Caenorhabditis elegans: one gene and its partner. The gene in region 2 interacts genetically with the main gene of each other region. Each region holds a gene or a part of one and is shown on either strand. Other genes may lie near its edges.

The links.
Region 1: of cri-3 (region 2) and daf-14, changing one enhances a phenotype caused by changing the other (phenotypic enhancement), as found in Caenorhabditis elegans (one study listed by BioGRID).

The regions. Positions count from the first base shown.
Region 1 is NC_003282.8:10,248,905-10,256,536, reverse strand, and holds daf-14 (Smad-related protein daf-14), read right to left. Parts: upstream 5,911-7,632; 5' UTR 5,892-5,910; coding exon 5,809-5,891; intron 2,921-5,808; coding exon 2,862-2,920; intron 2,449-2,861; coding exon 2,307-2,448; intron 2,260-2,306; coding exon 2,109-2,259; intron 2,043-2,108; coding exon 1,530-2,042; intron 990-1,529; coding exon 942-989; 3' UTR 685-941; downstream 1-684. Other genes in the region: F01G10.9 (aECM cysteine-cradle domain-containing protein), read left to right, coding at 1-239, 420-494; F01G10.10 (BPI2 domain-containing protein), read right to left, coding at 6,862-6,976, 7,023-7,174, 7,567-7,632. UniProt on the Caenorhabditis elegans protein: Probably an atypical receptor-regulated SMAD (R-SMAD) that is an intracellular signal transducer and transcriptional modulator activated by TGF-beta-like daf-7 signaling.
Region 2 is NC_003281.10:3,394,643-3,398,236, reverse strand, and holds cri-3 (Conserved regulator of innate immunity protein 3), read right to left. Parts: upstream 1,653-3,594; 5' UTR 1,648-1,652; coding exon 1,376-1,647; intron 1,326-1,375; coding exon 1,141-1,325; intron 1,091-1,140; coding exon 987-1,090; intron 938-986; coding exon 788-937; 3' UTR 610-787; downstream 1-609. Other genes in the region: Protein clpf-1, read right to left, coding at 324-483.

The DNA of each region.
Region 1 (7,632 bases), on a different chromosome or scaffold from region 2:
CTCCGATGCCAATGCCATTGGCTCCACCAGGAATGGCTTTACCACCTTCCCAACCAATACAACCTGTTCAACAACAAGTGGGTCATGATATTCTTAAGTTGAAGCCAATTCTACAATCGAATCCTCAAGAAATGCAGGAAGCTACCGCAGAGAGTTGTGCAAAAATAACAAAACTGGCCAAGAGTTTTAGTATCAAAGATGTCTCGAAATGGGCGAGAGGCAACTGTCCCTTCCTGCAGGTAAATTTTAAAATATAGAAATCAAGGCTGCCACTACAGGTAGGCATTTAGGAGTGACTACGTGCCTATCTGTTACGTATTTTTGGTGCTCTTTTGTGAATTCCTGTTGTTGGTGTTACAACAGAGACACATTTAATCAAATCACTTTTTCACAATCATGTTAATTTTCCTTATTTGCAGATGTATGCTCCAAACGCCAGCTGTGAACTCATATTCCATTTTATTGATTCTTGTAAAAGCAAGAAATTCTTCTAAACTATGACTTAATTTTTCTCAAAATGTTCTCTGTTTTCTTTGCTCTTTTAGTTTTGTGCTCATCCTACATTTAAAGACATTTCCAACCCATACGGGATCATCTCATTTTATTTATTTCCACAATTGACACTTTTGTCGTCAGATTTCTAATTTATTGTTTCAGGTTCCTCTCCTTTCCACCAAAAATGTATTATTAATATTATTTTAATAATTTATTCGCATTCATAATCATTTCATCAAATTATTTAATTACATTACAAAGTTCTCAAAACAGAAGATTCTAATAAATAATTGAATTAAAGATTTTAGAAAAGCATTCAAGAGACTGGGAATTTTTTAACCAAAAGAAATGAAAATTAAAAACTGGGACAGAAATGGAAATATTAATCAAACGGGTACGCATTCGAATGCTTAGAACCAATCATTGAAGTGAAAATATTGAAGCAATCATGATCGGGATCCTATTTCCGGCCGTTCGTTATTAATACGGAAAACCTGAAGATTATTAATGGAACTTTAATTACTTGAAACAATTTTGTGTGTTATTTCAAGTGTTTAAATTTAAATTCAAATTCAAATTCAAAATGGTCTCAACTATGCCATACACTTAACAGTTAATTCCATTACTAGATCATATGTTGAATTTTTTGTGTTTTTGTTTTAATGATTGAAATAGTCATATTTTGTTTAATTATTTTATAAATAGAACCGGATAAGACAAATGTGAATATAATTATTAATTATTTGTCTTTCATGAAGTTTTTTAATTTATCTATTTATTTCGGAAACAAATATAGCCTTGATTCACCGAAAGAATCCAGGTGGCTAAAAAATCGATTCTTTAATCTTCAATGGAGATACTTTAAGCCTATACAAAAATTGCTAGCCAGTAAAATTCAGTAGTCGGCTCAGTGGTGTACAACATTTTCAGAGATCTTGGGTATTTCAGCTGCAGTTGGACCGCACTATCGGAAATTGTGTTTTAATATTATATTTTTAATTTAGGAAAAATTACATTAAAGTTTAAAAACTCACTGTATCATACTCATCAGCTGGCTCATGCAAGATAATTTCAATCCAACACGGTAAATTCACAACTTTCAAACGGGAATACGTTTCTCCGAATCCTTTACAGAAAGAGACTCTGATGTTGGAGAAGATTCTCATTCGTTCATCAGCCACCTCTTTTTCAGTTAAAGGTCCGAGAGCCAATGTTTTCTCCTGTTCAAACTGCTCCTTATCGAATATTTTCATTCTTTTTTGATCTCCTTTGTTTTGCAACCGAAACACATATTTCAGTGGCTTATTCAATGTCTGGTTCAGGAATGGGCATTGTACAAAAACAATTTGGTCAGTCAGTACAGTTAGCCAAAGTTCTCCATTTTCATATGCCAATTGAATTCCTGCTCCAACTGTGTTTCGGATTTGTGAGCTTTTTGAATTTCTCGAAGATGGTTGAGATGTAAGCGACATTCGGCACTCATCACTTGCTCCAGTTGCACCATCGATTGTAATTGTTGGGACTTTGGCTTCGAATGCTTTTCCTAGCTGAAAATATATCATTGTTATGCTATCCGTTTTTTGAAATTCTTTCTCAAATAATTTTGAACTTACTCGAACAGTCAGCTCGTAGTAAAATATGGTACACCACGGTTTTTCTTCTTTTGGATATTTGGGTTCAGGATCCAACATCTCGTTTCCAGTAGGACGTACTTCAACTACTGCCTTTTCAGGAGTTTTTGGTTTCAAAGAAGATTGGCTTGAGCTAAAAAAAGAGGTATGTGAATGTGTATAACTTTCAAATAAACGTACATATTTGAAAATGGAAACGGATCATTATTTTCATCAGTTGATGTTGACGGAACATTATAGCAATCAGGCATTGGAGCATCTTCCAACCAGTCGTTTATTGGCATGTTTGGATTATTGATGCTTGCCGGTAAGTGAACTTGATCTGTAATTTTTGTATATCAGTTTGAACAATAAAATAAAAGCTCAATTCCAAATGTTAAATTAGTCAGAAACTTGTTTCCCAAGTGATTGTGATCACGGTGACTCATATGGATGATGAGGGACTTAAGCTGGATAATTTTCGTTTTAGAACTTTCTGATTCATATTAAATCATATGACAAACCGGAAATAAATCGTCTGAAAAACATCGAAATCATACGAAATATTTTTAAAGATATTTTTCATGTTTATAATTGTTTTCTAACAAAAAATTGAAGCATATTTATATTTTATGTGATTTGAGGCATTCTGAGATCAGGAACTGAAAACGTCTGTTTTATAAATATATTTTTTGCAGTTATAGCCACTTCTGTCTAGTTTTCCAATAACTTTGTCATGTCTACAATTTGACTCACCTGGGTACATATAATTCCCCGCAGCCGCCCAATTTGTGGGTGTTGTTGTAGTTTGAAAACTGAAAAGTCGAATATTTAAAACGAGTTAAGAAAAACACAAAACAACAAGGAAGTCGGTTGGCTTTGATATTAATACAAAATGAAATAATTATGAGATAATGAGATCCTATAAGGAAGGGATTATCTAAGGATTACGAATATGAGGGTTGTTGGTGAAATTAGCTGACGTGAAAATAGAGAAAAAGTCAATTGAGTGCATAATAATGCCAGAATACCTATAGATAAGAAATAATGACGTCGTATTAGAGGTTTTGAAATCGGTTCAGTTAAATTTTTTTGCTCTCTATCAGCATGCTATAGAAGGAAGATAGTTTTGGGATATTCATTTGATAAATAAATATAAAAATAAATGTACTGAAATCATTCGATTTTCTAAGTGAAAAACACAAAATCATTTAAAAAATATGTTCACTTTTTCTTCAGGTCTAGTTTCCTTATTGTCAGAGTCTAGCAACGTGTCGTCATAACAGGTGTATTAGAAGAAATTAAAAAGTCGACTAGACTTGTTATAGGGCAAGTCTCACGACCTTAGATTGTTATCTCTCATAAGAGTGTACGTGAAGTTGCCAGACAGGTGCTGTCTCGTTCTTGAAAAAAGTGTATTCAACTATATATCTAATGTTAGATAATGTATGATGCGGTAAATTAAATGTTGCTACTTAACTTTTTTTCATATTCGGGAACGAACTATGGTTCCTTTTTAAAAACTAGATCTGGCAGAATAGAACCAAATATAGAGTTTTTGAAGAAAATTGAAATAAATATATGTATATGAGTATTGGAAACAGATCAAGAACTTTCACCTTTGTTGACGTCAGTCATACTCTTTCTTTTTGGAATTGCGCTCGTTTCTGACATCAGTTTATAAAAGTCGACGGTTAAAAAAATAGTATTGGAACTAGAAGAGACGTGAGAAATATTTTGAGAACTAGATAGGAAAAACGAGAGAGGAGAGGAGCGAGAGTGAGCGTTAGGGTATGTATGTGTGTGTTTTCTGTCACAACAAATGTAAGTGAAAGGAGGAAAGAAATGGGAAAAAAGAGAGAAAAAGAGAGAGAAGAGAGAGAGAGAGAGAGAGAGAGAACGGAGAGAAATAGAGAACGAATATACTCAGAGCATCGGCAACACGTGAGCTTCTGCTCCTAACAGGAAGAAAAAAGTTGGAGTGAGCGCGTAATAGGGAACGATAGCACGTGATCGATAAATAGAAGGAAATGGAAAAAAAGACGAGGTTGAGAACGTCATCTGAATTGTATTTTCAATGACGACTACTTTGAATGAATAAGAGAAATGAACAAAAGAAGGTTAGGGAAAGATGACAAAAGGTTCGTTATTACCGTTCGGAAGAAGAATAGTTCGAGGAGGGGTAGTTACGAAATAAAATTCGAAATATTTTTAGTTACCCTCTGAAATTTTAATTTTTTCATCTTTCCAACAAATTAATGTTTTTCAACATTGGAAATTTCATTGAATAAAAATTAATAAATTTAAAAAAATCGATAAAAAAATCCATACCGAAAACCCCTAAAATAGTGTGACTCTAGAACACTGCAACGTGGCTCTGTCTACAAAGTGTGGTCCATCTGTTGCGCTGTGCTCAAATATTTGCCGATTGCAGGAAAAGAGACGAGAACAGTAACACGAAAAGGTCAGATAGATCAAGAAGATATTATTCGTTTATTGGGTTAAGAGATCAGATTCATAAAAGGCTCGTAGAGATAAACAAATTATCATAATTTTCGGCTTTAGATGTTTGTTTGATTGTGCCTGTTGGAGTCTAAACTTCGAATTATTTACAAAAAATTTTTTTTGAAAAATTTAAAAAGAGAACATTGTGGTTTTTTCCCTATTTTTCATCAAATTTTCCTGAATTTCTTGGAATATTTGGGGACTTCTTTCATAATTTTTTAAAAATTGCTAGGAATTGCAAATTGAGTAACAAACCACGATACTGAACTTTTGGGGAAACTTCAAAATGTAAATGAGGAAAAGACAGGGGCAAATACAATAATTGTGTTTTGATTCCGGTGAACTCAAGAAGAGCGGGTACGTTGCAAACTACGAGAAAGAGAGGTATTTATTGTTTCCGCCCCAGGACATCCGTTGTAAACTTTTTGGTTCAAAAGATCAAGACACAGAAATGCGTAGACAGGGCGGAGAGAGAAATATGCATCTTGTCTTATAAAAGTCGGAACGAGTCAGTCAGGTTAACAATATATTTCCATCTCACTGTCTACGGGGGAAGTGATAGTGTGCTGGACAAATATAAAACTTATTTGGTTTGAAACGTTTTGTTGAAGTTACTGATATAACTTAGTGGTGTTGCCTAATAATTGGAACATTCTAGGTTTTTTTTCAAGCCGAGAAAACAGTTCAATTACTTGTTTTTTGTAAAATTGAGTTTAAAGTTTCAATAGAGTAGAGCAGTCCAGAAAAGTCAGACAGATTTTTGAAATAAAAAGCTTGAATCATCAAAAATAGCTTCCAGTTTGTAAAACCCTGTCAACATTGGTATATATATTGGACTAAAAATAGTCAGTCACCTTTAATTTACTTTTGTTATAAGTTTACATAACTAAAATTGCATTGAAAAAAGTTTTGAGCGACTTTTATAATAGTTTGTTAACAGCCGGGAGTTAGGAAACTATTTGACACGGAAAAATTACAAATTATTTTTCATTAAAAAACAGAAGTAAACATAATTGAATGTGACTATTATCGGAAAAATCACGTGGTGTCAGGCTGTTCCATGTCCCATATGATCTACAATAAATGCGGGAATTGAGACGCAGAGACAACTGTTATTGCACGGTTAAGACATCTTGACACATCGTAAAAAGTACGATTATAAATGTTATCAGCATCACCCGTTTAAAAACTTACTTACCCAAACTCGGCAAAATCGTCCATGATTCCTAACTCTCCTTGGTTGTTAAAAAGTGATCCAAAATCTTCTTGTTCGTTGGACATTATAAATGTTTCTGCAAAAAAATGTGTGTTCGAAACAACAAATCTCCAAAATATAAACGGAAGGGTGCCGATTTATGGATTGTTTGAATAACAGGTAACAAATCAAACATCTACTACACAATTTTTGCACTTTGAATGAAAAAGTCAAAAACAATTGTGTGAAAAGCGAGACTTTAGATGATCAAGTCACATCCAAAAGTATATAGAAAGAGTAGAAAATGAGCAGAAAAACATAGAAACGCAATGACTCCATGGTGATGGTTTTATGTGAAGTGGCGTGACTAGGAAGGGTTCAATATGAGACAAATAAATACGAATTGACATTACTAAACGATGCACATCAGGTTGTTAAGCCAGTAATAGACCCAATTGTACCTTTAAAAACGACTAGAATTTTGATCATAACAAATTATTCGATAGTTGGACAACCCTCGATTGCAAATAATTTGGATCCAGTTTTGAAGATTCCCTGTAATTCAGCAAAATAATATTCTGTCAGATTGAGATTAATGGTGGAGCTTGGCCAGTAGAGAAATGATTAAAAACCACAGAAAAAGAAAAATGAGAAAAGTACATTGGTAATGTGAACGAAAGTTAAACGTTGAAAAGATAAGTTTATTTGACGATCAAGAAGATATTGAAATGAATGATCACGAATGAAATGATACCTGTTCGATTGAAAGTATTGTTTGAATTGTTGAATAGAATCTCTATGAAAGACTTGACACGTTCAATCGAAACTCTCATATTATACATTCGACAGAAAAAACAATTTTTGGTCCCTTGCAAATATTTAATTTTATTTGCAGTTTTGCAAATTACGGAGATGAAAACTGTCCTTATTTCTTCAAACAGTTTCGCAGATAATAACTTATTTATTATATATTCATCAGTATTCTTTTCTCGAAATGTACATATAAACCGGTAACTAAATATCGATATTTCTGTTTTTTGGTAACTTTGTCATTCATCACAATGGTCCACGTAACGTTTTTCCAACAGCTCCTCTGACAAGACTTCCTGCGTATTCCTCGTCAAGTTTGAAATATGTTGAAACTTTCAGATAACGATCGTGGAAAGTTAATCTGAAATTATAATAAATTCATATTATAGAGCTCGTTTCAAACTCACTTTGGACTCTTCAGAATTACACCTTGCATGGTTGGCAGAGCAATTCCCATTTGAAGAATTTCAGTGAGAAGCTTCTCTAAAAATTCAGCACCAAATAATCCCAAGTCGGAAAATGAATCTTGGTCGACATCGTTGATTTTTGTTTCAAGGAGCTGAAATATGACAATTTGATTAGCACCTCAAAACTGAAACATCCAGGCCGGCTTCCAAAAAAATAAATTGGTGACAATTTTCTTGGTGAAATATCATATAATCGCATTCAAGTCTTACCCAAGTTCAAATTTTTCCATCTTTAACCCAAAATGTTTTAAACTAGTGTGGAAGATTGGGATAGATTGGGCCTATTTACATTTTACGTAACCTCTTTATTTTACAATTTTGAGCTTTCTGGTGATTTTAAAGGCCTATTAATAATTTACGTTTCGATTAAATTACCATTTGTAAAAACACATAAAAACATATAATATTTGGCGTACGTCGTACGACTTGAAATTACATAGCTTCAGTAAGAATGATTCATAGATGATTGGATGAAACATCTCACCTTAAAATCCAAATTTTCAATCGTTGAGTTTCCAACAATAATTGATCCATTGATCCACAAGTTTAC
Region 2 (3,594 bases):
TTTGATTTAAAACACTGTTTTCCAGACTTTTCCGCATAAAACAAATGATTACATCTGAAATTATCGATTTTTAGGCCAAGTTTCAAGATGAAGTTTCAGCGAATTTCTCTACTTTAACCGCAAAGAAACACGCTAAAACTTGGAAATTGACCTAAAAGTCGATAATTTCACAGAAATTTGTGCTTTTTCTGCGGAAACATTAGGAAAACAGTGTTTCAAGCGAAATATTACAGAAAAAAAACGGAGAAAGAGCAATAAATATAGCCAGAAAACGGGAGTTTTTGAAAAGTTGAAAAAAAATCCAGATTTCGAGGAAAACTTACTGGCTGGAAATGTATATTTCTTATTTAACAGCAGTTCTGTGCCAAAAATTTCAGCGTATCCCTTGACGAGCTCCAGACAGACATCCGAATCGTCTCCGGCGGCAAATCTCAGCTCACAGTCCTCTTTCAAAACGAACTCTTGAACATTCTCCTCGCTCATTTCTTTGGAATCTGAAAATGAGGCTTTATTGATTTTTTAATTTTCAGGAAAAAACGCGGAATTAGATAAAGCAAAGACATAGTTAATTTACAAAAAATTTGGGATGCGGAAAACTACAAAAGAAGAAAAAAACAATGGGTTTATTATTTTTGGAGGAGAGAAACCTCAAAACAGAACAAAAAACTAAGGAAAATAAACGAGCTGAAAGAAAATGTGCTACTTATTTAGATTACCTAAAAACGTCAACAGTAAAGTTATAAAAGACAGAAAAAACAAAACAATTGAAAAAATTTCAGAAAGCAATCTATTTGGAGATGAACTTCTTGATCTTGTCGAGAAGTCCAACGTATTGAGAGTGCTCGTAGTGAGTGGCATAGGCGACGAGAGTCTTGCAGAACCGAGCATCGAGACCGCGTTCTTCCAAATAACGAACGAACAGGAGATCGTGGAGGTCCTGGAATTAGAAAAAATCAATAATTTGCGGTCCTCTTGGGACTACTAACTGGATCGATATATTTTCCACTGCTAGCGTACACCTCGGATGGTACGTCCTCGTTTCCATTCTTGGCAGATGGGGCGACGTAGAACTCTTCGACGCGGAAATCATCTATAAATAGTATATATTTTATTCGAGTTTTCGATAAAATCGAGTATTACACTCATCAGGTTGATCGTCAACTGGCACAAGCTCGAGATGGAAGCAAAGTCTCTGATCTCCCTTGGTAATCTCGACGGTGAATGGTGGCATGGCTACTGGAACTGGAGCGACGGCCTGGGATGGCTCATCGTCGAATCCTTCGTCCATATCGACAGAGTGGTTCACATTGAAGACGACGAGAATGCTTTAAAAAAATTAACTTTAGAACTATGAAAAATTCTGAAAAAAACGAACTCTTCGCTTCCATTCTTCTTGGTCAGCCTAACTTCGGCGTCCTTATTGGTGACTTGGAAGCCAGCAAATGTCGGCGCAACGGCTCCTTGAAGATTGTCGCTGCTCAGCTGTTGCTCGGCTTCGATCTCACGGTTCAGGGCCTGTTGAAGTTCTGGCGTTACTGACAGAACCTTGGCCGATTGTGAGAAATGGCGTGGAGCGGCCATTCTGACGACCTGGGATGAACGGAGAGCCACTCGGGACAGGGAGCGAACAAGGGAAGCAGTGTTCATTTTACCTGAAAGAAGAAAAAAATAGAAAATTACATTTTCCAAAAATGATGCAAGTTTTTATCGAGCTAAAAATCAAGATTATCAGGTTATAAAGCGTTTCTAATTGATTTTAGGCTAATTTAGTTGTCAAAAATCAATAATTTCAATGAAAAACCTCGAAAAAATCAGTGGAAGCGTGCAGAACCGAAGAAAAAGCGAGAGAATATGCGAAAAGCCGACGAAAATAATTCAAATAGAGCCTTTCGTGGCAAGATATCTTCGCCGCAAAATGGCATGCGCCTTTAACTTGGCGCGCTTTGGAATTGTGTTCAAACGTTTTTCAGCCATATTTTCTCATTTTAAATCGATTTTTTCTTGTTTAAAATGATTTTAAAGTGCGTTTTCTTTGAAATTATTGACTATTGGGCTTAAAATTATATAATAAAACTGAAAATTGCCAGAAAAATCGATTTTTTGTTGTAAAAACATGGAATAGAGCTGCGCAGCTGGCGCGATGAGTCATGAGTCATTTGAAAAAGCAGCATTGCGAAATTTATGTTTAGAATTTTTTGAAGATTATTGATTAAACTAGGAGATTATCGATTTTAAGGAATATTTTTATACTTTTGAATTTTCGAATTTCGTGTTTCTGGCTAAAATCGTTGGTTTTTCTCGATTTTTCATTAATTTTCAGTTTTTCAGAAGTTTTTTCGTCTAGAAAACTTGTTTTCTGGCATTTTTCGGAATTTTTGAAGCTTCAGTGTATTTATTTCGAGGTCATAGCGTTTTTTAAACGGAAAAACTCTTTAAAATTCGAAAAATCATGTTTTAAATCAAATAATAATGAAAAATCTAGAAAAACCGATCTAGAAAACATTTATTTGCGCGGGAATTCAAAAATTATTCGGTTTTTTGTTGGAAAAATTAAAAAATCAAACAAAATTCAGGAAATCTTTATTAATTTTTCAGCAGTAATGTCCTGTATAGTGAGGATTTTTTCTGTCATTTAGGGCAAAAACTGGCGTACTTTCAAATTTAAAAAACCATTTTTTCGGTATTTCATAGTGTTTAGACCCCAAATTCCGTTCCCAAAACCTCCCAGAAATTAAATCGTATTCCGTATTCCGTCGGAATATCTTGTTTATCGGCAAGTCATCATATATACCTCCTCATTCCAATGTCCTTTCACACACATTCGAAAGGAACTGTCTCCGTATAAATACACAACGAATGGGAACTGTCTTCTCTCCGTCTCTTCACTCTCTTCACTGCTTCTCCCGTCGTTCCGAAGAATATCGATTGTTTTTCCGCTCTTTTCCGTTTATGTTATGTTTGCCAGTCATGTGAATCACTTCATAACGTTTTTTCTGCTTTCCGGAGAGAATTCTCCATTTTCTGCTACAGTTTTGAGGAAAAAAAAATTGCATTTCGTCGCATTTAATGTGAATTTTGGCCGGGGGAAAATATTAAACAATCTACATTTTTATACCGGGAATTGGGTGGGCGGCAAGTGCTGTTCGGCAAATCGCCAAATTGCCGGTTTGCCGATTTGCCGGAAATGTGTAGAGGCACTTTTTATAAGACGGAACCACTTAAAACTGCCTTTTTGGAATTTATATCCCGCTTTTTAAAGAAATTTTCATAGAAGTTGCTTATTTTTCAAAATAGACGTAGGAACATTCATAGGGTGCGTACAATTTTGCCGATTTAAATTGAAATTCTGAAATTTCCAAAAAAAGGTGCAAAACCACATTTTGCCGAAAATTTTCGGCACCTGTCGTTTTTCCGGCAGTTCGCCGATTTGCCAGAAATTTTAATACCGGCAATTTGCCGATTTTCCGGAAATTTTGAACTCCGGCAATTTGCTGATTTGCCGGAAATTTCAATTCCGCCAATTTGCCGATTTGCGGGAAATTTCCATATAGGCAATTTGCTGATTTGCCGGAAATTTCAATTCCGCCAATTTGC